Tamandua tetradactyla: one gene and its partners. The main gene of each other region encodes a partner of the protein of the gene in region 3 in a complex. Links are inferred from orthologs where the notes say so. Each region holds a gene or a part of one and is shown on either strand. Other genes may lie near its edges.

Evidence for each region.
Region 1: SNRNP40 (region 3) and PPIL2 share a complex: the UniProt entries of both Homo sapiens proteins name them as parts of the minor spliceosome. The link is inferred for Tamandua tetradactyla from reciprocal best matches to the Homo sapiens genes SNRNP40 and PPIL2.
Region 2: SNRNP40 (region 3) and GPKOW share a complex: the UniProt entries of both Homo sapiens proteins name them as parts of the minor spliceosome. The link is inferred for Tamandua tetradactyla from reciprocal best matches to the Homo sapiens genes SNRNP40 and GPKOW.
Region 4: SNRNP40 (region 3) and TXNL4A share a complex: the UniProt entries of both Homo sapiens proteins name them as parts of the U4/U6-U5 tri-snRNP complex. The link is inferred for Tamandua tetradactyla from reciprocal best matches to the Homo sapiens genes SNRNP40 and TXNL4A.

The regions. Positions count from the first base shown.
Region 1 is NC_135331.1:26,294,567-26,301,615, forward strand, and holds the start of PPIL2 (RING-type E3 ubiquitin-protein ligase PPIL2), read right to left. Parts: upstream 3,018-7,049; 5' UTR 2,909-3,017; coding exon 2,877-2,908; intron 1,210-2,876; coding exon 1,160-1,209; intron 577-1,159; coding exon 531-576; intron 1-530. Other genes in the region: uncharacterized protein LOC143682994, read right to left, coding at 4,677-4,851. UniProt on the Homo sapiens protein: Has a ubiquitin-protein ligase activity acting as an E3 ubiquitin protein ligase or as an ubiquitin-ubiquitin ligase promoting elongation of ubiquitin chains on substrates.
Region 2 is NC_135353.1:121,047,270-121,054,133, forward strand, and holds the start of GPKOW (G-patch domain and KOW motifs-containing protein), read left to right. Parts: upstream 1-3,859; 5' UTR 3,860-3,922; intron 3,923-5,350; 5' UTR 5,351-5,388; exon of another isoform or gene 5,389-5,455; intron 5,456-6,864. UniProt on the Homo sapiens protein: RNA-binding protein involved in pre-mRNA splicing. As a component of the minor spliceosome, involved in the splicing of U12-type introns in pre-mRNAs.
Region 3 is NC_135328.1:194,558,401-194,566,149, forward strand, and holds the start of SNRNP40 (U5 small nuclear ribonucleoprotein 40 kDa protein), read left to right. Parts: upstream 1-4,726; 5' UTR 4,727-4,789; coding exon 4,790-4,933; intron 4,934-7,146; coding exon 7,147-7,276; intron 7,277-7,749. UniProt on the Homo sapiens protein: Required for pre-mRNA splicing as component of the activated spliceosome. Component of the U5 small nuclear ribonucleoprotein (snRNP) complex and the U4/U6-U5 tri-snRNP complex, building blocks of the spliceosome.
Region 4 is NC_135344.1:2,383,110-2,390,086, forward strand, and holds the start of TXNL4A (thioredoxin-like protein 4A), read left to right. Parts: upstream 1-3,976; 5' UTR 3,977-4,061; intron 4,062-4,538; 5' UTR 4,539-4,565; coding exon 4,566-4,718; intron 4,719-6,684; exon of another isoform or gene 6,685-6,753; intron 6,754-6,977. UniProt on the Homo sapiens protein: Plays a role in pre-mRNA splicing as component of the U5 snRNP and U4/U6-U5 tri-snRNP complexes that are involved in spliceosome assembly, and as component of the precatalytic spliceosome (spliceosome B complex).

The DNA of each region.
Region 1 (7,049 bases), on a different chromosome or scaffold from region 3:
ACTTATCGGAGCCAGAAGGAAGCATTCAATGGCTCTGCAACCGGATGCCTCCCCACCCCCTCTCGTTGATCCAAGTTCCCAGGTGACGGGGAGAAGAGCCTTAGGTATTTTTACTATTACTGCTGTTGTCACTACTTAGAATCTGGACTATAAATAAAGTGTCAAAGGCACAGCCCAGAGTTGGGATTAGACTCAGCAGCATCACTTCCTGGATGTGACACCTAGTGGAGGCACTTCACCCTTCTAAGCTGAGGTTTTTTCCACGGTGAAATAGGGTTAACAGGCTCTTCCAGCCTCAGAGGGTAGGAAAGAAGTTCAAACGACAAAACAAGTAAACATGGGCACACGAGACAGAAAATAATTACTAGCAGCTGTCACTATTGAATACACCTTCTCGCACTAAGGGGAAGATTGAGGTGAGTGAACACAGACAGAGCCCACATCTGGAACTCCAAGGATCAGATTTATTTTCAGATAACTGAGTATTAGAGAATAAAGACAAGGGAAAATTAAATTTTCAAAGATCTTACCTACAGTGGTCAAAAGGTAGACGACGAAAGTTTGTTTGTGGGATATCTATTTAAAATCAAATTAAAAAAAATGTTTCCTATAAACAAATTTCAATTACTCACTCCCACCAACAATTCAATTACATTTTAAGAAAAAGGCCATTTAAATTACCTAGTGAAGTAACTGCTGTGGATTAAAACACTTTTAAAAGCTAAAACCAAAACACATCGTTCCTCAGAGAGGCATGAGCACACACTTGTTTAAATTCCTACAACAGGTTCTATCACAAGCCTAACAAAGGCTCCTGTTCTAGTGCTTTGCTTTCTGAGGCAGCTGTGCCCTCCACTCCCATTAGCAATGTATGACAGTGCCCTCTTTACTGCTGCCTGGATAAATCTGAGTATTACTGTTTTCTTGATTTTTCTTTGATAGAGACAATTATTTTAAACTTATAAAAAAATCACCACTGAGATTAAGTGCTTTGTTGTATGTCTCAGTATGATTTGTGAGCTGCCTGGCTTCTCAATTCATTTGTCTACTACAGTTTCTGCATTCTTGTCCATTTTTACAGTCCCAGAGAAGAGTGAAGATGTCACTCTTTAATAAAGAGCTAGGTGGGGGGAGGTTACAGAAGGACCTCTGGCCTTACCTGGCTTCTTGCCACCATAGAAGTGAGTATATTCAGCACAGGTGATGTACCTGAAGGTGAGAGGGAGAATGTTACCACCACCATCCCCTTTGCATGAAGAGCAGAGTCGCCATCATTCCCTCACTCAGCAGATGCTTATTAAACACTAACTATATGCCAGGCACACAGTGATGAACACAACAGACTGGGGGGTTCACAGACAAGCGAGTAAACAAATGTAAACAGTCCAGCTTTGCCCTGAAGGAAATGAACTGAAGGTAACAGAGCACCTGATGATAAGAAGGAGCTAATTACATGAAGATTTGGGGGAAGAGCTTTCCAGGCAGAGGGCCCACCAGGCATCTCACCAAAGCTAGGGGGTGGGGGGTGCAGGGAAAAGCTAGGTGTAGAAAGGAGATGTCACTGGAGAAGAGTAGCACAGTTGAGTGTGACACAGGTGAAAGCGATGACCACAAATGACCCGGCAGGCCATGGGAAATACTCCAGATCTGTTCTAAGTAGGATGGAAAGTGGTCGGAAGACTTTGAGCAGGGCCCTGCTATGATCTACAAAAATCTTAAAAGAATCACTCTGGCTGCTGTGTATAGGGAGACAAGAAAGAAAGGAAACAGAAAAAAACAATCGGGCAGTGACTACAAAGTTCCAAGAAGGGGTTGGAGCAGTGGACAAGTGAGAAGTGGTCAGTTCCTCCAAGAGTCAGCAATTCTTGCCAAGGGACTGGGGAACAGAGTTGAGCGAGCTAAGGGAAAGAGACATTAAGGCTGACTCCAAGATTTCTGACCTTAGAGTATGACCACTGAGGTAGGAAAAATGGAAAAGGAGCAGTTTCAGGGGCTGGAAATGAGTTCCATTTGGGGACATATTAAATTTGAGATATCTATCAGCCCTCCAAATGGGGACGTTAGGTGGGCAGCTGATTTTGACACGACTGGGATCACCTTAGGATGACCGGGTGAAATCATCCTGGGGGAACAAAAATGGAGAAGAAAAACTGGGCACACCGATCAACAGGACTCTGGGAGAGAGACAGAGGCAGGCCAACAAAAGAGACTGAAAGAGACCACTGAAGGAAAACAAAGAGCACGTGTGTCCTAGGTACCAAGGAAAGGATTCAGAGGCAATGGTAAAGGATGTCAGAGGCTACTGAGAAGTACAACCAAATGAACGGTGAGGTTAAGACCACTGGATTTCGCAAGATGGAAGTCACGGGAGACCCTGACAAGAGCAGTTCTAAGGTGCTCAAGTCCAACTGGGGTGGCTTCAGGAGAAAGTGGAAAACAGCAAAGGAGACACACGTATCTTACATCGTGTTACCAAAAGATTCAAGGAAACACGGTGGCAGCTGGAAGTGTACATGGGGCACAGCAAGTTTGGTTAGTTTTAATTCTGCAGCAAGTGCGTACGCGGGTGGGCGTGAACCAGGAGAAGAGTAGATGCGACAGAGACGAACTTCAGAGGCAAAGCTCTCAAGAGAAAGGGGACGAGGTTCCCGCACACCCCCGCAGCTGACCGCCTCGGAGCGGAGATTCTGCGGAGGCGGCGGCGGCTGGGGCCACGACCGCGCCGGGGTAGACGGGGAGGCCTCCGGGAGGAGGTGACATTCGCGGTGGGCCCTGGGTTCCAACCCAAGCTCGCCCGTGAGAGGGGAGGGGAGCGAGGTGCGGGCCTTGGCGCTGAGGCTGAGAGGGGCGCCCCTCCCAGCTGCGACCCAACTTACATTTTGTCCTTCTGGTGCTGTCGCTTCCCCATGGTGGCGGCAGGCCCGGCTGGAGGAGTGACAAGACGCGGGAGAGCTTGCACCTAGGCCGAGCTTCCGTAGCTGCTTCCGGGACGCGCGGTCCTGCCCCGGAAGTGGGCCCGGGGCATGCCGGGATATAGGTTTTTGGCGCCCTCGGAGCTCGGAACCTGGTACCCGCTATGAGTCCTTCGCTGGGAAGCCTTGTCTTCTCCAGGTCCTCTCTCCCGCCTGCCCGGCCCTGGCTCAGTCCCTTCCCGGTTCGAACCCGCCCTGGGCGTTTTAAAAGGCCCTCCCGGAGCCTCCAGTCCCAGCAGCCTCACCCTATCTCCCCTCCACCTCTGGCGCGTTCAAAGCGACGTCCACACTCGCTCACTTACGGTTCTCCCCACCCGATCGGCCCCTCTCCCTCTGAGACCCAGCGGCGGGAGGCCACCAAGCTCTCACCGGCCCCTCCCTTGTCTCCTGCCGGACCCTTCCCCACGACCCAGACGGCACTTGGAGGCGTCCCTAGCCTCAGCCCCGGGCCTCCGTATACCAGGTTCCCGCTCGTCTAGCCCTGGTTCCTGGCAAGTGTATTCCTTGTCCCCCCACTCCAGACTCCTGATCTTCCCCTGGGTACTCACTGATGTCAAATTTAACATGGCCGGTCAAGGCCCGATCTCCATTCCCCCCTCCCTACCACAGTCTCTGGCTCTCCTCGCTACTACCATCTGCCCCAGTACCCCTGTGGAAGGTAGAACTACGTAGCCCAGAAGAAAATACCTTCATCTGCATCCTATTGCTGTGGGTGTGAATCTATTGTAAATAGAGCTTTTTGAAATTGTCATTTTTAGTTAAGTTGTGACCAGTTGAAGCAGGATAGGTTTTAATGGACCGTATAGAGAGTAGCAGAAAGCCAGAAGAGAAAGGAGAGGACATGGCCATGTGACGGAAAAGCCAAGGAATCCCAAGAACTGCCTGCCCCCCCATCCCATCCCAATGCTACCAACCCTGGAGAGAAGATTTTGATGAGTGCTGAATGGAAATTAACCCCAAACTGATTGTCCTTGCCATTTTTTGTTTCAGGGCTGCTTTTTGCCCTCTAGATTTCAACCCAAAGGACACTACCCTATCCCAGGTAGCTCCCCAGACATGTCCATCTCAGCTCCCACAGGACTTAGCACAATTTGGCATCTCGGAGGAATCTGATCTGTGTACTGGTTTACCACCCCTCCACTATGCCCATGCCCTCAGAAGCATGGATGTAAATAAGCTTCTTAAGAGCAGGGGACCTAAACTGCTTGGTTTATTATCTCCACTCCCAAGCAAAGTGTGAAACACACACAAGGGCTCAATTAAGCATTTAGAGAGGACTCACATCTCACAGGCAAGTTGGGTTCTAAGGTCAGCCTGTGAGGTGATGAGTCCCACAGCTTTGAAACTGCTTAGGAAGGTGCCAAGCTGGAAAGTGACGCACCAGATCTCATTTTCCCACATCCCAGTTTCTAAACCTGTGCACTGGCAAGGCTTGTACAAGGGCCACTTGTAGGAAAACCCCTCATTTCCTTTTCAGAGGTACAAGGCTGAATCCCCATGCAAGGGAACTCAGCAGTCGTACTGGCCACCAACTGTGCAGGCTCGGGTCGAGGGGCCTCAAGCTCACAGTAGCCTGTCCACCTCTCCAGGCTGGAGGAGCACATGGGATTGAACAACCCCTGGCAATCCCGGTTCCCCAGCCCCCAGCACGAGCTAGGCACCTCCACGGGAACTTTATTCACTCCTGTCTGCAGGGAAGTGTGGTTAGGGGCTCCTGTCATGGGACACAAACTCCGCACTGCCAAAGTCGTTCTCGGAGTCTTCGCTGGGCCTCGGCACAGGCTGGAACTTGAGCAGGACAGGCGGGGTGAAGATGGAGGCCTTCGGAGGTGGGGGCGGAGCCTCCTTGGTGTTGGGGGAACCACTACAAGCAGGAGTCCTGCACAGGAGACATCCAAGACACATCCGTGAGGTGGGCCACGAGGCCACCAAAGCCCCAGCCTGTGTGGGATGCTTCACCACTCTCGGACTCGTTGCTACTTCCAGAAATCTTTCCTGTGGATGTGGGTGGAAGGCTGTTCAGTGCAGCAATGGCTACGGTTATAAACACCAGGAAAACAGATTGTTGAATTGATCCGCTCCATGCAGCTTTCAAGGGAATGGGCTAGGTCCACTACCCAATAAGTAAAGGTGTTCAAGATGGCACACTAATAGAAAAAAGCAGGCTGCTGTAAAGGGTATGAACAACGATCCTACTTTGTTCCTTTGATCTCATACAGTAGATGAAGTTCATTTAAACGACCCAAACGTGGAGCCCAAGATGGGAACAAGGGCTTGTAATTCTGTATAGCTTAACGTAATGTCCAGATATATCCCAGAGCATCTTGGGCAGATAATTAAAAAGTCTTGGCAAAGTCCTTTGAGGACAGGAGAAAAAATATGGAACTATTAAACTTTCCCACCTAGAAACCCCAGATGCGCTCTTAAACACTAGGGACTCCCAAATAGGCCAAGTCCCTGATCTTGAGGCTTGCTCTTATGAAGCTCATTTCTGCAGCAGAGAAGCTAAGCCTACCTATAGCTATGCCTAAGAGTTACTTCTAGGAAATCTCTTTGGTTACTCAATGTGACCTGTCTTTCTAAGCGCAACTCTGCAAGGAAAATCATTACCCTACTCCCTATGTGGGATGTGACATCCAGGGGTGAAAGTCTCCCAGCTATGTGGAGATGACTCCCAGGGATGAGCCTGGCTCTGGCACTTGGGGTCAACAATGCCATCCTTTCCAAAAGGGAGAAAAGAAATGTAACAAAATAAGGTATCAGTGGCTTAGAGACTTCAAATGGAGTCGAGAGGCTTTTCTGGAGGCTACTCTAATGCAAGCATCAGCTAGATAGTGCAATTGCCACAGTCTGCCAAACCCCAACTAACATCATTCCTTTTAACCCTAAAGAACACCCGGGGCTCTATCTGAGATCCTACTAAAGTTGCACATGCTATATTTACTCTCCAGAAACCTACAATCTCCAGATGGTTCCTAGGCCAGATAAGTGCTGAAACCCTGAGGAGCTGGTTTGTCCATGAACATCAACCAGTTCTGTCCCCCTATCCCATATTATCACCAGCCCTTTCTGCTTGAAAAAAGAATGGGCATAACTCAAATATCCGTAAAGATTGGGAGAAGGATCAAAGGACAAGGAGGAACTAAACAGAGATGTTAGGATTTAACAAATGAATATAACTATTGAATGATTATATTTTGATATTTTAGTCTCCAGTATCTTGGAGCAGCTGGAAGGAAACACTGAAATTGTGGAATTGTAACCCATACCAAACTGAAATCTGTTCTATAACTACTGTTACAATGTATTTTGAAATTGATTGCTTTTTTCTGTATATATATTTCACAATTAAAGAGTTGTCCTACTTTGGTTAAAAGTTTTAATAGGGGCGGGCCACAGTGGCTCAGCAGGTAAGAGTGCTTGCCTGCCATGCCCAAGGACCCGGGTTCAATTCCCGGTGCCTGCCCATGTTAAAAAAAAAAAAAAATTTAGCAGCGTAGTTAGGTGTGTATGTATGCATGGGTGAACATTTTGGTACACGCAAAGCTTTAGCAGTGTTTACCAATGAGGGGGGACTCTTGCATTTTACATTATTTATTGCTGTCTTGTGAACTTGTTTCCATGGAATATATCCTCCTGCTTTTGTCAATATTTTTGAACAAATTAAAAACAAGCCATTTTTTGGCAATGACACAGCTGACTCAGGGAATAATAGGTACCAAGAGCCAAGAAATCTCCCCATCATTGAAAATTTTCAACAAGAATAATTAAGTAAGTAATGTTCCATCCATGTGACACAATGTTTTACATCATCGTCGTTGAATTTAAAGGTATTTTTATGGCATGGGAAGAAACTCACACTCCAGAGGCAACTAAAAAAACTGGAAACTGTGTAATGGGACAGTCCCAACTATGTAAAAACAACTACATGTCTGTATTTACATGTGTTCCCATGGGAAATACATGTTAACAGTGGTTATTTCTGGGGATGGGAATAAGAGTGACTTCTGTAGCTTCTTTAAGCTTTGGGGTAGTTTTCAAATTATCTAAAATAAATACTTAGTGTCTTATGAATCT
Region 2 (6,864 bases), on a different chromosome or scaffold from region 3:
CCATCAGGAGATAGAAATAGGGTAAGATATTGGGTAATTGGAGCTAAAGGGATACAGATTGTGCAACAGGACTGAATATAAAAACTCAGAAATGGACAGCACAGTACTACCTAACTCTATTACAACTATGTTAAAACACTGAATGGAGCTGAGTGTGAGGATGATAGAGGGAGGAGGGCTGGGGGCGTAAATGAAATCACAAACAAAGATAGACAATAAACATTGAGATGGTGTAATCTAGGAATGTCTAGAGTGTAGAATGATAGTGACTAAATGTGCAACTTTAAAAAATATTTTTGCATGAGGAAGAACAAAGGAATGTCATTACTGCAGGGTGCTGAAAATTGATGGTAATCAATATTTTAAAATTTCAACTTATGTGTGATACTAAAGCAAAAAATGTTTGTTTGGTACAAAATTTATATTTTGACTAGTGCATCTCCTAATATAACTTATGTAGATAGTTGGTTGAACAACATAAGTACATGGAACTTTGGGTAGGACATGAAATTTTGTTGGTTTGTCCAGAGTGATGCCCCGATGAATCCCAGAGTGATTTGATCAATGAGTGGAAAGTATTTGCAAAGTCCGCTTCAGGGAATGGTGAGAACGGGGAAAAATTCAACCTCCACCAGTTGAATTCTTGATATTCTCACAAGTAGTGTGGACAACCAAAGCTATAGGCTGAGCCCCCAGTCCTGGGGTTTGTTCATATGAAACTTAACCCCGCAAAGGATAGGTCAAGCCTACTTAAATTTAGGCCTAAGAATCACCCCCAAGAGAGCCTCTTTTGTTGCTCAGATGTGGCCTCTCTCTCCAGCCAACATACCACCCTCCCCCTGTCTACGTGAGACATGACTCCCAGGGGTGTGAACCTTCCTGGCAACATGGGACAGAAATCTTAGAATGAGCTGAGACTCAGCATCAAGGGATTGAGAAAAACTCTAGAATGAGCTGAGACCCAGCATCAAGGGATTGAGAGAACCTTCTCGACCAGAAGGGGAAAGAGTGAAATGAGACAAAGTGTCGATGGCTGAGAGATTCCAAACAGAGTCGAGGGGTTATCCCGGAGGTTATTCTTACACATTAAGTAGATATCACCTTGTTATCCAAGATGTAATGGAGAGGCTGGAGGGAACTGCTGAAAATGTAGAGCTGTGTTCCAGTAGCCATGTTTCTTGATGATGATTGTATGATGATATAGCTTTACAGTGTGACTGTGTGATTGTGAAAACCTTGTGTCTGATAATCCTTTTATCTACCTTGTCAACAGACGAGTAGAACATAAGGAATAAACATAAATAATAGGGGAAACAAATGTTAAAATAAATTTAGTTTGAAATGCTAGTGATCAATGAAAGGGAACGGTAAGGGGTATGGTATGTATAATTTTTTTTTGTTTTCGTTTTATTTTTCTGTTGACTTTTTATTTCTGTTTCTGAATTGATGCAAATGTTCCAAGAAATGATCATGATGATGAATATGCAACCATGTGATGATATTGTGAATTACTGATTATATATGTAGAACGGAATGAGCAAATGTTAAGGATGTTTGTGTTTCTTGTAGTTTTTTTAATTAATTAAAATTTTTAAAAACCACATAAATGTGATAATCTATGTACATTTTAACTGCATTTCCCATTTTAACCACTTTCAAGTATACAATTCAGTGGTATTAATTACATTCACAAAGTTGTGCTTCCATCATCATCTAATACCAAAATTTCTCAAGACCCCAAACAGAAACTGTACCCATTAAGCATTAACTCTCTACCTGCTCCCAACCTGTGATATACTTTCTGTCTCTATGAATCTGCATATTCTAGTTATTTCATATAAATGAGATCATACCATCAGACTGTGTCCAAGGCCTTGGTGAAACAGCCATGGACCAACTGAGTGCTCAGGGGTAAGCAGCTTGAGGTCAGCTCTGTGTTGGTTGATTGCAGGGTGGTCGGTGGGGATGCCTAGCCAGGCAAGTGTCTGAGCCCCTGGGACCCTCAGTTTCTTCTTCTGCAAAGTGGCAGTCTGAGGCCCTCTCTCACTGCAACCTCATTCCTCCCTCCACTGCAGCAGCAGTCTGCCCAAGGGCTCTCCATTCTGGTCGATATGTTCAGACACCCCTGTTCAAACTCAACCCTAGACCAGGCTTCAATCCCCATGGCCAGTGTCACATAACACCCCAGGGTCTTCCAAGCCTTCTCTAGTCCAGGCCTCCACCTCCCCTCCACTCTCCAGAGCACCTGCCCTTCCCCATTTTTTGACTCCCCCACCCCCAGTATGCTCAGGGACCCAAATTTCCCCGCGACCCCACAGACTCCAAGGCCGTGCCTCTTCCCAGCCCCACCATACCCTTCCGTTTCCCCAGTAGGGACCGTCTTAGGCAAAGATTCACCGCAAACTACAGAAGGCCGACTACGTGCAAAGCTCTGCTGAAGGCAGCAGAGTTCCCTGGCAAACTTGGGTTCCAGTTGTGCATCTTCATCTTTAGTTGTTAGACCCTAGACGGGGCCCTTACTTCTCCCAGACCCTTGTTCCCTATCACTTAGAGGAATAAGCGGGATAGGAACAAACCGTCGGTGGAAAGAGGAGCCCAGCCCCGGTGGTCAGTAAACAGAGGCAGCGCCTGAGGCCGAGCGAGGCGGAGTGCACGTGCGGGCTCACACAGCCAGGCCTCCTCGCCGGCCGCCAGGTAGGTCACCGCACGGGGCTGGGCGCCTGGCCGGGAGCGGCCGATCTCAGCTGCGTCCAGGCCCAGGCCGGTCGCCAAGTGAGCGTGCCCCGGAGCTCGAACCGCGTCGCTGGTGGCCCTACGTCCACCCGGCCGCCTCCGGGCCTTGGAGCCGCGCCGGGAAGGCGCCACGGACCCTAGGGGAGGCCGAGGAGGTACCAGGGGGAGGAAGAGGGGAGCGCGCTCTCTGCCCGCGCCCTCGCCCGGCCTTTCTTCCTGCAGGTTGTAAACGCAGCAGTTCTGGCGCCCAAGTGGCGGCGAGCAGCGGCCCAGCTACCAGGGCTGGGCCCGAGACCCCCTACCCACACCTACTCTAGGGGTCCGCGCCCCAGATCCCGGCTCACTCCGGAGTCTCCGGGGAGACGGGCGCGGTCGGGCTTCCCGGTGTCCCTGAGCACACCCCGGCAGTCAGGATTTGGGGTGAATGGGGGCTTGAGGAGGAGCTCGGGGCCTCTGCAGAGAGAGAGTCTGCAGTTCCGGGGAATATCTAGGGAATCGGGGCCTCCCAAGGGATTTGTGCAGGGTGGCTGAGGACCCCAGGATATTTGGAAGCAGATTCGGGGATCCCGGGTTTCCTGGTGTCGACATCGCGTCTCGGGACATCTTGGGGACATCAGGGTCTCCGGAGATATTGAGGGGGGCGCATTTGGAGCCCCAGGGAATTGGGGAGCAGTCGTGGACCTCCAGAAGCATGCAGCGAGTGGTTGAAGGTGTCCAGGAATAGTACAGCGAAACGGCTGTCTCCAGGGGCGAGTGGAGTTCCACGGGCATACCCGAGACGGTCGGGGGGCGCGGGAGAGGTTGAGGGGCAGTCGATGTCCTCCGGAACTATCGAGGGAGTGAGTGGTCAGGGGTGTCCGGGGACCTCGAGGGGCATCTAGGCTTCGGACGTCTGGAAGCATGGGGGTGTTCCGAGGCTGAGGGTGGGCGCTGACCTGTCCCCCTCCCGCTCAGGCCGCGGCCCTGCCCCGCCCGCGGGCGCCAGCGCCCGGCAGCTCCTGGCGCGGCTCGACGCGCGCCCCCTAGCGGCCCGAGCTGCGGCGGACGTGGCGGCCCTGGCGCGCAGGGCAGGAGCAACATTGCGCCTGCGCCCCAAGGAGGGTGAGTGACCCTGCCGCGGTCCTCTGGGGAGGCGGGGAAGAAGGGGAGCTGCTGGGTGCTTTGGAGGCGGCAGGACCCAGATCGTTGGGTACTTCCCCTGGTTGGGGCCCAGAGGCGTGAGTTGAGGGGGCGGGGCTGGCATCGCGTCCCAGGGGCGGGACCCGGTGTTATCCTAGATTGTTAGTGTAGGAAGTGCGCCGTGCATGGGTAATTCCAGTAGGCAATGCCAGAACTGTAAGGGGGGTGGGCGGGGCGGGCCTGGATAATTATTTCCGCCAGCGGGTCTTCGATTGTTGTTTTCTGAGGGGGCGGGTGCTGGAGGGTTATTGCGGTGAGGAGATAAAGTAGAAGAGGGGCGTGGAATGCCAGTTAAGGAGCAGACGGTGCTTGAAATGTCAGGCATTTTTGAGGTTCAGAGGGCGGGCCTGGAATGTTTGGGAGCCCAATCCTGGATTTTCACTCTCCCAGGTGTATCTAAGGGTATTATTTGAGGGGATGGGATTTGGGGCGTTTTAGACACGGGCTGTAGTATTATTCACATAGCCCTGTCTGGGATTATGAATTAAGAGGTGGGGTCGATATACACACAGTGGAATACTTTTCAGCCCTAGAAAGGAATGAAGTTCTCATACATACTACAACGTGGATGAGCCTTGAAGACGTCAGTTGAGTGAAATAAGCCAGACGCTAAAGAACAAATATTGTATGATCTTATTATATGACATAATTAGAATGTAGGCTGCCAGTGGCAGGGTGGGGAGTGGGGAGTTAAAGGCTTACACTGTACAGTGTTTGTTTGGAGTGGTGGGAAAATTTGGTAATGGTGATGGCATCCCAGTACTGTGAATGTAATGAATAACACTGGTTTGTATACTTGCGAGTGGTTGACATGGGGAGTTTTAGCTTGTATATGTATTGCCACCATTAAAAATACAACCCGTAGAACTGTACAACACAAATTTTGAACCCTAATATAAACTATGGAGTTTATTTAATAATATAATTATAATGTTATTGGTTCATCAATTGTAACAAATGTTACAATATGCAATGTTAACAATGGGAAAAACTGGGTGTGAAGGGATGTGTATGGGAACTCTACTTTCTGCATGATTTTTCTGTAAACCTGCAACTGGTGTTCTATAAATACATACATATTTTTTTGTTGTTGTTTTTTACATGGGCAGGCACCAGGAATCAAACCCGGGTCTCTAGCATGGTAAGGGAGAACTCTCTGCCACTGAGCCACCGTTGCCCGCCCTTAAAAATATGTATTTTTAAAAGTGCTCTAAAATAAATTAAGTGCTCTAAAAATAATTGTTTTAAAAACTTTATGGTTTTTTTGTGGTGCAGACCTAGGATGATTACTTGAGGGGTGGGGCCTAGATAGTTCTTTAGGTGGGCAGACCCGGATGTGAGTTCAGAGGGTTGAAAATGGCATGTTAATTTGTGGGGTGGGGTTTCCGTGGTTTATCCAATTGTACTCAACTGCGTTCTTATTATGTTCTATCCTTAGTTGCTATCCTGCTGGACTCTGCAACCATCAACATCATGGTTAGTTGCCTGCCCCGAGTCCGCTTTGCCATCCGCGTACAGGTCCCAGCATGACAAAGACAGTAAGGTCTGAGAAACAGTGAACATTTTGGGGGGAACTATGACAGGCCTAGGGTGCTGGAGACTGCTTTATTCAAACTTGGGGAGGGGGCGGAAGATGAGGATCCTAGCAGCTGAAGGAGAACAGTGGACAGGGCCTCACTGAGAATCCCGGGCAAGCCCTGAATATAGAGAATTGAGTAAGAACCCAATTGGGTAAGAAGGGCAGAGTGGCTAGGTTCAAGTGTGACTCTCCACCACCAGCTTCTTGACCTTTTATACTTCATTTAATCTCTGTATGAAAAGCTTAATTGCCTGAATATAAAAGTAATAGATTAATATCTTAAGGATGAGAACTGTGTAAAGTCCATATTTTTCTGTCGTTATCTCTTCTTTCTGACTTTAAAAATTTGTAGAAATTGGGGATGCGAGGGTACGTCAGTGGAAGAATTCTGGCTTACCATGGGGAGACTGGGGTTCGATTCCTGGCCCATGCACTTCCCAAACAAAGAAAACAAACCAACTAAAATAAACAAAGTTCAACAAATGATGCTGAAATAACGGGCTACTCACATGGAAAAAGAATGAAATGTGACCCTGCCATACAGCATACAAACAAAAAAAATTGTAGAAATTTGATTTAACATATATGAAATCATGGTAATGTTTTAAATCCTACTTTTTCAAAACTATTCTAACAGCTTTATTGAGCTATAATTCACATGCCATATAATTCACCCATTTACAGTGTACACTTTGAAGGTTTTTAATATATCCGCAGGGTTGTACAATCATCACTGCAATTGTAAATTTAGAACATTTTCCTTTCCCTAAAAGGAAACCCATACCTACTAGCAATCACTTCCTGTTCTCTAACTCTAATTAGCCCCCCCCAAGCCATAGGCAACCAGTAATATATTTTCTGTCTCATAGATTTGCTTATTCTCAACACTTAATAAAAATTGACTACTACAATATGTGGTCTTTTGTAACTGGCTTCTTTCACTGAGCATAGTATTCCCAAGGTCCATCCATTTTGTAGTATGTATTAATACCTCTTTCCTTTTTATTAGTCATTAATATTCCATTATATGGATATACTACATTTTATTTATCCATTCATCAGTAGATGGATATTTGGGTTGTTTCCACTTTTTGGCTGTTATAAATAATGCTGTGAACATTCATGTACAAATTTTTAAGTGGATGTAGGTTATTTCTTTCGGTGGAGTAGAATTGGATCATATAGTAACTCTATGTTTAAAATCTTGAGAAACTGTCAAACAAAGTCATCATACCATCTTACAATCCCACCAGTAATGTATAAGGCTTCCTATTTCTTCAGGTCCTCACCAATGCTTTTTTTTTTTTTTTTTTCATGTGGGCAGACACTGGGAATCGAACCTGGCATGGCAGGCTAGAGCTCTTGCCAGTGAG
Region 3 (7,749 bases):
AGAATGGAGATTTATTGCTTAAAGGAATATAAGGGTTTGATTGGGGTGATGAAAAAGTTTTGGAAATAAAGAGCGGTGATGGTTACACAACACCGTGATTTGTAGTTATGGCAGTGTATCACAGACTTAAAAATGGTTGAAGTGATCAATATATATAGCAGCACAATTTTTTTTAAAAAGTAGTAACAAAGAAAAAAATATCAGACCATGTCTAAATTTTGTAAAGACAGCTCTAAGACTAACTTCAAGATCAGAGGAATCACTGAAGAGTCACGAGCAGGACATCATTCATGAGGGAGGCTAAGATGAGGAGGGTCTGGATTAATTTATTCAAACATGAAATCGAGGATCATTTCTTATATGATTTTGTATTCCCAGTGCCAAATACAGTAGGTACTCAAAGTTTTCTCGAATGAATAAATAGAGCCTTACTATGTGCCCAGCAGAGGTGGAGAAAGGAGGAAAGCATTCTAATATCTAAAGGATGTAGAGTAGAAAGAACTGGAGTCTGGAAAGGTATAGTTTCAGACAAAAGAACCCACTCCAGCTAGGTTAGGCAAAAAGGAATTTATATCTAGGTATTACATGACTTACAAAATTAATGGAAGGGCTATAGGAGCAGGCCCTGGCAGAACTTCCCAACTCCTAAGCCACAAAATAATATCATGTTTGCCATGATCAAAAAGGTATGGCCATCACTGCAGAAAGTCACCAAAGCAGGTGGCTGTTGACTGGAAAACTCATTGCCTCTGCTATATTTTTCAGCAAAACCTGATGCCTCTAAACGAAATCACAAAGAAAGACAGATGATAAAGATTGAGATGGTATAATCTAGGAACGCCTAGAGTGTATAATGATAATGACTAAATGTACAAATTTTAAAAATGTTTTTGCATGAGGAAGAACAAAGGAATGTCATTACTGCAGGGTGCTGAAAACAGATGGTAATTAATATTTTTAAATTTCAACTTATGTGTGAGACTAAAGCAAAAAATGTTTATTTGGTACAAAATTTATATTTTGACTAGTGCATTTCCTAATACAACATATGTAGATAGTTGGTTGAACATAAGTACGTGAAACCTTGGGTAGGACATGAGATTTTGCTGGTTTGTCCAGAGTGATGCCCCAATGAATCCCAGAGTGATTTGATCAGTGAATGGAAAAGTATTTGCAAAGTCCCCTTCCGGGAATGGTGAGAACGGGAGAAAATTCAACCTCCCCCAATTGAATTCTTGATATTCTCATAAGCAGTGTGAACAACCAAAGCTATAGGCTGAGCCCCCAGTCTTGGGGCTTGTTCATATGAAACTTAACCCCACAAAGGATAGGTCAAGCCTACTTAAAATTAGGCCTGAGTCACCCCCAAGAGAACCTCTTTTGTTGTTCAAATGTGGCCTCTCTCCAGCCAACACAACAAGCAAACTCACCACCCTCCCCCTGTCTACGTGGGACATGACTCCCAGGGGTGTGGACCTTCCTGGCAACATGGGTCAGAAAACCTAGAATGAGCTGAGACCCAGCATTAAGGGATTGAGAAAATCTCTGGACCAAAAGGGGAAGAGTGAAATGAGACAAAGTGTCAATGGCTGAGAGATTCCAAACACAGTGGAGGGGTTATCCTGGAGGTTATTCTTATGCATTAAGTAGATATCACCTTGTTATTCAAGATGTAGTGGAGAGGCTGGAGGGAATGGCCTGAAAATGTAGAGCTGTGTTCCAGTAGCCATGTTTCTTGATGATGATTGTATAATGATATAGCTTTCCCAATGTGACTGTGATCGTGAAAACCTTGTGTCTGATGCTCCTTTTATCTACCTTGTCGACAGACAAGTAGAACATATGGAATAAAAATAAATAGGGGGAACAAATGTTAAAATAAATTCAGTTTGAAATACTAGTGATCAATGAAAGGGAGGGGTATGGGGTATGGTATGCATAATTTCTTTTTGTTTTCATTTTCTTTTTTTGTTGTCTTTTTATTTCTTTTTCTGAACTGATGCAAATGTTCTAAGAAATGATCATGATGATGAATATACAACTATGTGATGATATTGTGAATTACTGATTAAATATGTAGAATGGAATGAGCATATGTTAAGAAGGTTTGAGTTTCTTTCTTATAATTTTTTTTTAATTAAAAAAAAAAAACCTGATGCCTCACATTCAGCTTCTCTCCACAATTAATCCAGTTCCAAATTCAATTCTTAGGAAAGAATTGGAATAGTTTTTCGCTTTCTAGCCTCTTCCGTAAGAGAAGGCACACTAGAAGCAGGAACGTGTTTTGAGCCAGCCAAATCCACAATATTTGCCAAACTTGTACTAAACAGCCTAGTGTTGCTGGGGGAAAAAAAAGTATAATCTCCAATCTCCAATGGGTCCTTAACTCTGCCTGGTAATCCTACATTTCTCTAGTAAACACATTCTCCCACACTCTACAATGACTTTCAAATCTTCTTCAATCTACTCAAACCTCTAACCTACTCTCACTCTAAGCATAAAATTCCACCTCTCACTTTACAAAGAAAATAAAAGCCATGAGAAAACAATTCATCTTACCAGTACCAAACATACAATCTCTATCTATACCTTCATTTCCTCCTTCCCTTCTGTTAAATGGATAATGAATCCATCTTCCTAAGGCTGCTTTCTCCACCTATACTTTGGATCCCATCCCCTCCCACCTTCTCAGAAATTTTACGCTATTGGTGACCCAATTTCTCTCTTGAATATTCAACTCTGTCCTCTCAATTGGATCCTTGGTAACTCCTCATCCCCTTTAGCTACCACATCCTCTCTAAAATAATGTCTAGATTGATTGCCTGGATCCTTGTCTCATATCTGGCTTCCATCACAAAATAACTCTTGCCAAGGTTACCAAGAACTTCATAATAAAGACAACAGACTTTTTTTGATCCTCATGCTATTTAAATTCTGACACAGATCATTCCCTTACTTCTAAAAGAATATTCCTCTCGTTCTCTTGTAGGTTCATCCTCCTGTTCTTGGCCACTAAATGTTGGAACTTCCCAAGGCTCTGACCCATGTGATCTTACCCACACATACTACTTAATTATCACCTAGATTACTCCCAAATCTACTATGTTCAACACAAGCATGGCTTCTGCGCTCCAAAGTTCAACTGCCTCCTAGATGTCACAAATGAATCCCTCCATAAAAAACCCAAGGAACAAAACTAACAAACTAGTTTCTAGTCATTTTCTAGCGTTCCATTGAACACTACAAGATATTCTAATGCCTCACTGAATGGTACTGCTACGTATTCAGCTGCATGAGAAACCTAGGGCTTATCTTTGCTTCCTCTCTCTTAAGTTTCAGGAATCCAACCCATCACCAGTCCTAACCATTTTACCTCCTATATATCTCTAGAATCTGTTCAATTCTCCACAGGTCCACCAAGATATGTCAGTCCTCATTGCCAATTATCTCTCACCAGGACCACTGCAGAACCTAAGTCGTCTATCTGAATTCACTACGGCTCACCTTCAATCTGTTCACACCACTGAGACAAAGGGGTCAAGCCACCGCCCCTTCCACACATACAGCCCCCCCCACCCACCCAAAAAACCAACCCTCAGTGATTCCCATCTCATCTTAAGATAAAAGCTACAGATCTCTGCAGGGCCTAACCTTCTAACCGCCTCCAATTTCATCTTGTACCACTCTCCCCTCGTTATCTTTGAAGCAGTCACACTGGCCTCTTTGTGCCTTTTGTCAGTCACCCATGTAATGCTGTGGCTTCCTCTCTTCACCTAATTATTTGGAATTCAGCTCAGGCATCTCTTTCTCAGAAAAGGCTTCCTGCATATTTAAGCACTCAAAGCGTCAGATAGCTGTCCGAGGTAGCACTTATTTTACATTAACTAAAGAGATGTTAGATTGTTTAACATCTGTTTTCTCCACCAGACTCAATCTCCCTGACGTCAGGGACTATTTGATTCACAACGTCTCCCAAACGCACAATAAATATTAGTTGAATGATTGAGAAGAGGACCTAGTTCACAGATGTGAGTCTCAAGCTTCTCAATATAACTGCGCTCTCGAGAAGCAGAAGGCGGATATTTTCTTCATCTGTCTCTCTCAGCGGCATAGGGGAGACTCTAATGAAAGACTGTACAGTCAGTTGCAGAAACAAGCCTCACCTCCTCAGACAGGGAGTCTAGGAGACAGGCCTTATCTTCCTGGGAGCGCCCCACACATGACTGGACACAAGTGGGCGATTATCCAAGTCAGTCGTCGAGGTCCCTCCAACACCCCACCCGGCAGCTACAGGGTCTGGGTCCTGCCGCCAGACAGCCCAAACCTCGGCTCCCGCCAGGAAGGAGAGCCCATGCTACTACTTACCAGGGATAGAAATCAGGACCCTCAACTGAGAAGGGCCATGCTCAAACCCCACAACCAAAACGCTGCCTCCAGACTCGGGTAGCCACCCCCTAGCTTCCTTATACTTACTCGGCGTCAAGTAGAAGACAGCCAGCCACGCCATTGCGCGAAAAGCCGAACCCAGTCGGCGCGTTTATACCCACAAGACACAGCGCGCGTAGGCGGGACTCCAGGTTCATCCGCCAACCCTGAAGTCGGGCATTCGTGATGTTAGGAAGAGCTGCCCAATAACAAGAGACTATCCCGAAAGCGACGCAGCCTATTGGGAGATGATTGGGTTCTCCAAGCCGGAAGTTCTAAAGGAAAGGCTAAGTTCGAGCCAATCGCGCTGTGTGGAAGCGTGCCGCCTCGGTCCCTACTGGCACTGAGAGGAGCGGCTGCCGCCATGATAGAACAGCAGAAGCGCAAGGGCCCTGAGTTACCACTTGTCCCAGTCAAGCGGCAGCGGCATGAGTTGCTTTTGGGAGCGGCGGGGTCGGGCCCCGGAACCGGGCAGCAGCAGACGACGCCAGGAGCTTTGCTGCAAGCGGTAAGAAAAGGAACAGGTGGCCTTCGCTGCTCGGCTTCTCTTGCTCTCTCCTCAGAGCGCCACACCGAGTGATGCCGCATTGCGGGAGAGGAACGAGAATATTGACCTGGAGTTAAACTCTTTAAAAGCGCCCTATACCCTACAGATGCTCGATACGTGTTCCCGCGTTTGATGCCCTTTTTCAGCATCTCGACCGCCCTGGAGGTGGCAGTAGAATTGGAATGAAGAGCCATAGGCTCATAGCTGGCCTCAGGGCCGCGGCTTAGGCTTCCAAAGTTTTCCAGGGATCCGGGATAGAATAAACATTTGGTAGAAATTTGTAGAGTGAATAAATGCGTGAGTGAGTGAAGGGAGAATGCGATGAAATGAATGTTATTGGCTCCCTTAGGGACCGGGCAAGTTGGTTTCCCTCTTTCAGCTTCCCTTTATTTCTCTGTACTAATATTATGAACTGGATAGTACAGTTAGTATTCATGGAGCCCTTGTGCTGAGTGCCTTGTGTATGTGATATCCATTCATCTTGGTAACAGCCTAGGAGTTAGGAACTATTATCCCATTTTGCAAATGGAACAACAAACTCTTATCAAATAAAGTGATGGAAATAGATCTTGAACCCAGGCAGTCTGACTCCACAATCCATGCTCTTAACTGCTCTTGTAACGTGAAGAAGTAGTGGCCACTTCTCCTCTGCTGCTGTGAGAATCAGATGAAAGAATATATGTACTCTCTTTTTTTTTTTTTTCAAACCCTCAACCAACCCATCAGCGAATCCTGCCAGAATTGCTATTTCTATCATCTCTATTGCTTCCTCTTGGTCTAAGCTATTATTTGTCTCATCTGAGATTTTGCAGTATGGTCCTAATCAGTCTTGACTGTTTCAGCTCCTGCTTTCTACAATCTGTTCTCAGTCCAGCTTTCCATTTCACTCAGAGTAAAAACCAAAAACTTCACAATCTTTTGCCCACTTTTCCCTCTACCTCTCTGATACATCAATCTTCTTTCCTTGCTCTGGTCTCTATGCTCCTGCCTCAGTGCCTTTGCATTTGCTCATCCCTTTGTCAGCATGTTCTTCTAAATGCTTGCATGGTTTACACTCTCAGCTCTTCAGTTTTGTGTAAATATCACTTTTTCCGTGAGTTCTTTCCCGACCACAGTATTTTAAATTGCAATATCCCATACTCTCTATCCCACATTCCTCCTGTTTTTCCCTATTGTACATACCATTGTATGTAATATATATATATTTTAAACTTTTCTCTTTCCCATTCCACCAGAATGTAAACTCTATTGATTTTATTCACAGATGTTTTTGCAGTTCCTGGGCACATATTTTTTTTAATGAATAAATAAGCTGGAAACCACTGAAGAGATGTGGAGATTATTGTTAGTGTGCCTGTTCTTCCTACCAACAAATTAGAGCATCAGCCCAGGTTTAGAAAGTGAATTGCTCAAGCCTAGGCTTTGTGTCCAGGGCCATAATCAAATCCTACTTTCTGCAGGAGTCCCTACCCTGCAGGGTTGTTGTTAAGCTCAGTTCTGTCGTTCACTCATTAAATGCACCAGACATTGGGAAAAGATTGTTGAATGACACAGGCAAAGTCCCTGCAGTCATGGAGCTACTGTTCTAGTGTGAGAAGCAGACGAAATATATAAACAAATATATGAGAAAGGTAATTTCAGATGGTGATTAAGGAATATGGATGTGTGTGTGTGTGTGTGTGTGTGTGTGTGTGTGTGTGTGTGTATGGAATATATATATAAGGAATCACCTTATATTAATATATAAAGTGGTATGTACTGTATGAAGTACAGTAGGTGATTGGAATACAGGTGGGGAAGAGTCAGGGGAAACTACAAATGCAAAGATCCTGCAACAGAAATAAGTTTAATGTTTGAATAATAGAAATGTTGGCTATGGGACAGCAGCAGAGGGAGGGAGAGAAAGAATTAATGTAGCAGGTGATCATTGGAATGTTCAACAGAAGAGTATCGTATTGAGACATGACAAACCATGAACCAAGTATAAAAAAGTTTTTTGCAGCAAAAAAAAAAAAAAAGAGGCATGCATGATGTGAAAAGAGCTGAAATCCATTCCATCCATCGTTTTCTCTTCTCCCTCTCTCTCTCTTCCTACTCCCCGCCACCACCCTCAAATTTTTCAGCCTCCTTTGCTTATATACAGTGAGTACTCTGTGTTTCTGTCTTTTGTTTAGGGGCCTCCAAGGTGTTCCTCTCTTCAAGCCCCAATCATGCTGCTCTCCGGACATGAAGGGGAAGTGTATTGTTGCAAGTTTCACCCCAATGGATCCACTTTAGCATCTGCAGGATTTGATCGACTGATATGTAAGACAGTTTTTGAATCTGATGTAATTGCACTCTACCATGTAGTGATTATTTTTTATCTGTGATCAGTGTAGATTGATTATCTCTGAAAATGAGGAAACATGACAAACTACATTGCTAACAAACTAAAGTGAGGTTGTGAGAATTCTAAATGATCTTGGGTATAGAACTTGGGGTATGTGTGGTAAATACAGAAGAGATTATATTACTAATTGGAAAGTAAGTTCTGGTTTGGGAATACCTTCCTCATATAGGCAAGTGTTGAGCTGATTTAGCAAGACGAGATCTCCAACTTTTTGTAATGAGGACAGAGAAAAGTTCTTTTCCCAAAGTTGTGAGGCCCTCCTGGGGATCCATACTCACAGTCCTAGCAAATAGGAAGGAAAGGGGATTCTAGAATAGCAACTGCCTTAGATATTATTAAGATCTATTGCCAGATTCTTAACTACCAGTCAGGAATACCCATTTTGGAA
Region 4 (6,977 bases), on a different chromosome or scaffold from region 3:
TTTTGTGTCTGCCTTATTTCACTCAGCATTATGTCCTCAAGGTTCAAACATGTTGTCATATATTTCTGGACATCATTTCGTCTTAGTGCTGCATAATATTCCATCGTATATATCACATTTTTTTTATCCACTCATCTGTTGATGGGCACTTGGATTGTTTCCATCTCTTGGCGGTTGTGAACAGTGCCGCTATGTACATCGGTGAGCAAATGTCTGTTTATGTCACTGCCCTCAACTCTTCTGGGCATATACCAAGTATTGGTATTGGCAGGTTATAGTGCAACTCAACATTTAGTTTACTGAGGAACCATCAAACCGACTTTCACAGCAGCTGTACCATTATACATTCCAACCAGCAGTGAATAAGTGTTTCAATTTCTTCACATCCTCTCTAACTTTTGTAGTTTCCTGTTTGTTTAATAGCAGCCATTCTTAAAGGTGTAAGGTGATATCTCATTGTCATCTTAATTTGCATCTCCCTTAAACCAATGAAGATGAGCAGCTCTTCATGTGCTTTTTAGCAACCTATATTTGTTCTTCAGAAACGTGTATATTCATATCCTCTGTCCATTTTATAATTGCGTTGCTTATTCTTTTTGTTGTTGAGCTATGTAATTTTCTTTATGTACACAAGATATCAAACCTTTATCCAATATGTGGTTTTCAAAAATTTTCTCCCATTGTGTGGGTTGCCTCTTCATCTTTTTAACAAGGTCCTCTGAGGCACAGAAGCTCTTGCTCTTAAGGAGTTCCCATTTGTCTATTTTTTCTTTCACTGCTTGTGCTTTAGGTATAAAGTCTAAGCTGCTACCTTCTATTACTGGATCTTGAAGATGTTTCCCTGCATTTTCTTTTAGAAGTTTTATGGTACTGGCTTTTACATTTAGTTCTTTAATCCATTTTGAATTATTTTTTATAGGGTGTACAGTAGAGGTCCTCTTTCATTTTTTTAGCTATTAAAATCCAATTCTCCCATGCCCATTTATTGAAAAGACTATTCTGTCCCAGTTCAGTGTATTTGGGGACCTTATCGAAGATCAAGTGTCCATAAATTTGGTGGTCTATCTCTGCACTCTGGATTCTATTTCATTGGTCAAACCTTCTGTCTTTGTGTCAGTACCATACTATTTTGACCACTGTGGCTTTATAGTAAACTTTGAAGTCAGGAAGAGTCCCCCAACTTTGTTCTTCTTTCTTAGGATATCTCTAGCTCTTCAGGTCACTTGCCCTTCCATATAAATTTGATAACCTGCTTTTTCAAGTCTTCAAAGTAGGGTTGTTGGGCTTTTGATTGGTATTGCATTGAATCTGTAGCTCAGTTTGGGTAGAATTGACATCTTGATGACATTCAACCTTCCTATCCATGAGCAGGGGATGTTTTTTCTATCTATTTAGGTCATTTTTTATTTCTTTTAGCAATTTTTTGTAGTTTTCTGTGTACAAGTCCTTGGCATCCCCTGGTCAGGCTTCTTCCTAGACATCTGATTCTTCTGGTCAGTGTTTTGAATGAATTTTTTTCCCTTACGTGCCACCTAAGATAGATCATTGCTTGTGTATAGAAACATTACTGATTTTTGTATATTAATCTTGTATATCACCAATTAGCTGAATTTGTTTATTAGTTCAGGTAGCTTTACTGTAGATTTCTCAGGGTGAAAAACCCCTTCACTTTAATTGGGTGATTTTATAGTATGTGAATGTGGGGGATTGAATCACATTGCCCACAAAAGACGTGCTCAGATCTCAATCCATGTTGCTGTGGGTGTGAACCCATTTTAAAATAGGACCTTTTGAAGATTTTATTATTAGTTGAGTTGTGGTCAAATCTAATCTGCGTTCGTCTTAATCTGTATGACAGGCGGCCTTATAAAGAAAGGAAATACAGATGCAGTGAGTCAGTTGAAACCTGACCCACAAGAAGCCAGAAGAAACTCCAGAAGAAAGCATGGCCTTGCCATCTTGATTTTGGACTTAATAGCCTTCAAAGCCCCAACAATAAATGCTTGTTGTTTAAGCCAAACCACTGTGTGTTATTTGTCATTGTTAGCACTGGCAAACTAAGACAGTGAATTATAGCTCATGAAAGCTATTTAGAAAAATGTAAACAAAATAGTTTCAATAAATTATTTGGGGACCTTTGAGCCTTATGCATTAGCTTAGAGCACTGTTAATCAACTGCTGGTGACAAGTAAGGTCTGTTTCATTTCTGAAAAGCATCACTGCTGGGTGTCTGTGTAGGACTAGTGAGGCCAGAGTTGGTGACAACAATAAGGGCTGAGATTTCTCCAGTACACACCACATCTCCACGCACACAGATAACCTTGTCTTTTCTTCCCCTTTCACAGATGAGCAAACTGAAGGTTAGAGAGGTTACTTATCTGAGGCAGAGCTGACCTGGAACCCAGCATCTTTCTGTAGCCAAAGTCCACACTGTTAACCACTATGCTTGTAGTCTATCAATGCCTCTCTGTACTTGACTCAACTATAAAATGAAAGAAGTTGGGTTAGATGATCTCTGAAAAAAAAGATCTTGAGTCATACGTACGTGGAATAGATTCTATATTATGTAATAAAAACTTAATCTGTCAGTGAATTGCACTCTATGGATTCTCTACTAAGAATGATTCTAATATTTAAACTGTGTCCTGCTGTGAACCTACAGAATAGGTCCTGCTGAAGTTCAATGGGCACTTAACATGAAAAATGAAACAGATCACTCCAAACAGCAAAATGGTAACAATTTATTAGGGAATTTACAGTCCAGAAAACTGGTCCTAGGTGGCTGCAGGACATTCAGAGTAGTGCCCTGTGCCACCCAGCAGATTATAGTGGTTATATAGGGCAAGAACTAGGAAGGCATAGAGTCAAATTGGGATTTGCAAGATCCTAAATATGCCTCTTTGAAGGTACTGATAGCAGGAGTGGTTCTAGTATGGATAGCTATTGTGCCAAGGAATGTGCACGAGCACCTTAAGATACATCTACAGTTGTGGGGAGAGGTTCCTTGTTTAGGAATTTATGTCTACTCTAGTTTATAGCCTCACAAATTGTCATTAAATAACATAGCATTTTAGAATATATGCTTCCAAAGGAAACTGAATACCAAGTCTTGGTTTCATTCTCCTGCTAGTGGTCTCCCCACTTGGTAACACAGCACATCAGAAGAAAGTTTTGAGCAAGTTTATGTTATGTGCATGAGCTCCTTTACAAATATATATGTACATAAGACATGCACAAAGTATAAAGAAGAAAAATTATGAAACACTTAAATAAATGTATATATTAACAATACAGAAAATACTTCAGCTCTTCCTAAAAATGTCCATAATTTTTAGAACAATAAAATTGATTAAGTTGCATCCTTGTTTTTGAAAATCCTGGTCTAGCCCTGCAATAGCTTTGGGAAGGCAGGGTTCCACTGTAAACCACTAAGATCCGTGGCTTTTTGGGCAGCTTCAAGTGCTTCATTGGCGGTGCTGTATTCTTATCTTCTTTAAACTTTTTTTGTCAGTTTTTTTTTTTTTACATGGCCAGGCACTGGGAATCGAACCCGTGTCCTCTGGCATCGCAAACAAGCTGCTGAGCCACCGTGGCCCGCCCTTCTTTAAACTTTTAATTTCGGAATAATTTCAAACTCACAGGATAGTGGCAGCTGTCTGTGCGGAAATTTTACTCAGTCCTGTCCACCAAGATGTTAAAAACAAAATTTCAGTCTCCCTGACGTCAAATATTTGTGCATATATGATATACACAGTTATGTATATGATAACTAGCTCGATAAAGCCCTGCTTTTTCTAAAGATGACTATTTCGATGCTTTTTTAAAAATGTCCCAACTCTCGGAACGCACGTGGGCTGACAAAAGCCAGGCCCGGCGGCACCCAAGAAAGGGCGGAGCAACCCCGGGGCCCCCCTTCCCCAGGCCGAGGTCGGCGGGGGCGCGCACGCACGCGGGGTCTCGCGCGCGCACCCGCTACGTCAGCGCGCGCACGCAAGAGGTTCCGGGCACAGCCGCGCGGAGCAGACGCGGGTGGCTGGCGAGACGCTCCGGTGTGGTGTGAGGTGCGCGCGGCCGGGCGCTGGGGCGCGTGGTGTGGGAGGAGAGGAGGGCCGAGGCGGGGTCGGGGGAAGGGAGGGCAGGAGGGGAGGGCCGAAGGGGTCGTGGGGAAGGAAGGGGAGGGGGGAGGGCCGAGGGGGTCGTGGGGGTCGTGGGGAAGGGAGGGGAGGGCCGAGGGGTGCGGGGGAAGGGAGGGGATGGGGAGGGCCGGGGGTGTCGTGGGGAAGGGAGGGGAGGGCCGAGGGGTACGGGGGAAGGGAGGGGAGGGCCCAGGGGGTCGTGGGGAAGGGAGGGGAGGGCCGAGGGGGTGCGGGGGAAGGGAGGGTTGAGAGGGGAGCGTCGAGGGGGTCGTGGGGAAGGGGAGGTCGCGCAGGGCCGCGCGCCGGGGTCCCCGTCGTGGGCGAGTCGGCCCGGGAGGCGGAGGCGGGGGCTGGGGCCCGGGCCGGAGCCGGCAGGGTGGCGACGCGGCCTACCGCCCGCAGGTGAGCGCGAGGTGCCGCAGCCTCAGGATGTCGTACATGCTCCCGCACCTGCATAATGGCTGGCAGGTGGACCAGGCCATCCTGTCCGAGGAGGACCGCGTCGTCGTCATCCGCTTTGGGCACGACTGGGACCCCACCTGCATGAAGATGGACGAGGTTCTGTACAGCATCGCGGAGAAGGTGCGCTCCGGGTCCCGCAGCCGGCGTGGGTGGCTCCTAACCCTTGTCTCCTGATGTGCAGACACGCCCCGCGGGTAGAGAGGACTGGGCGGCGTGCAGAGCCGTGCCTCGGGAGGGGAGGGTGTGCTCCCTGAGAGGGCACAGAAGGCTTCATCTTTTTCCGGGAGAAGTTTACAGGAATTTCCTCAGATTTTAGAGGTTCATGATCCCTTCCCAAATAAGTGAATAATTTGTACTGATTAGATGTGTTTCAAAATTTACATCTGCATTGCAATGGGGAAAAAAAGAATTTGCAGACTTTGGCTAGAGCATTGATGCTTTAAATAGCTGAGTTAAAAAGGATGAGCTCTTTTTTTGGCACCTTGTTTATTTTAGTTATAAAACAGAACCCTTATGTTAATAACAGTAAAGACTTCTTTTTGTTTTGGTAATGGTTTTTTCCCTTCATCATAGCATGTTCTTTGTAAGTCACCTGATTTATATCTTTGAATGATTGAAATTCAGGTGACATTAGGAGAAAAATAGAATTGTGCTTTTTTAGGACTGGTTTCCCTGATTTTTAATGTTAGTGTACTGGGGAGTCTAGTACTTAACTTGATGAAGACAAAGGTGCCATTGTAGGGCACTAGTACATACCCAGGGCTTTAGTTTTCTGTATTTTCCTGATTGGAATTTTTAGGTTGATTTTTATTTAAGTTTTTGAAATTGTAGCAGTAGGGCAAGAGATAAAGCTATGAACATGTTCATAAATAGTAAAATTATCGTTTCATAAATCATTTGAGATGGTCATTCATTTTACTGGAGAGTAAAAGTAATATAATCACTGATACGCTCTTGTCTTTGACGCAGATAGGAGATGCATTAATGATGGCTGGGTTTAAATGACTGCTTTGAAGAACTAGTAACAAGCTATAAATATTTTATCGAGGAAAGGAAAAATTATTGGCCCTCCATTTGTTCATTTTTACTGCCCTGTCTTGTCAGAAGAAAAGAGTGAGGTAGTGGTGTTGCTTTGTGAACTTTAGGAACTGTTCTTATGTTTTAGAAGTCGTAAGTATCATTGAAGTGCTTGTTAAAATGCATCTCAGAGATTCTGACTCTATAGGTCTGGGGTGGGGACCAAGAAACTGCTTTTTAAAGAAGCTCCCCAGGGAATTCTGATATGACTTGATCACGGGCCACACCTTAACTTCACTGAAGGTAAGAGTTAGGGTAGGAGTGCTTTGAGATATTGAAGCGCATCAGCAGGTTCCCGGAGAATTTCAGGAGAACAGCAGAACTCTCAGAAACTGGGGTCAGAGGTCAGGAGCGAGGGCACCAGCGGGTGAGTACACAACGAGTACACATCGCTTGAGCACTGCTGGGGCAGAGCAGAGGGCACTGGGAGCCATCCCTCAGAAGCTCAGCCTTGCTGTGTTGACTGAAATCATTTGGGATCTGCTCTTCTGCCTTGCAGCTGGCGGCGTAAGCACCAGGTGACACCCAGGCCCTCACTGCTGCACCAGGTGCGGCCAAGGTGCGGCCAAGGTGCTGGAGGTGCAGGGCCTCCTGGTCTTAGTGTCTGAGCCAGTGCGAGGCGTTGGTGTGAGGAAATCACCCCTTCCGGTCAGTCTCATCTGAGTTGTTGTCCTGGTGCCTCAGGTACCCACAGGTGCCTGTGGTAGCAACCTTCTTGATAAGGACAGTTCAAGTGGACTCACTTTTGAGTAATTTCCTTTGGTCTTTTAAATGATCATTTTCTTTTGTCTCAAAATTTGGATTTCTTTTTTAATAACTTTCAGTGATTCAGTATAATTATTTGAAATGTATCTGAAGACTATTAATGTTTTTTTTCTTTTTAGTATTAGGGCAAAATATGAAGTCAGAATTCTGTAAGTCCTTTTTGGGGAAGCTCAACAGGAATTTCTGAAATTTAAGATTTTAGTATGAAGAATAATATAACTGTATTTAAAATCTCCCTCTGCAGAAATGGCAGATAATGGGGGAACTTCCTCATCTTTAACAAGCCCTGTGTGGATATCACAGCTGTTTTAAAGTGAGTAAAAGTTCCAAATCTTTCAGGCTAGACTTGATTATGCTGTCTCTTTTAGAATGTGGTATATTGACTTGCTGTTTACACAGTACCCACTCCCAGCTTGTGCTGGGTTAACTTTGAGATGAATACTTCATGAAGGAGGTTAGTCTGAAGAAGTGGGAGGTATAAAAATTTTACAGATGTCTGGAATTTTGCTGTTAATAAGTATGGGACAGTTTATTTGG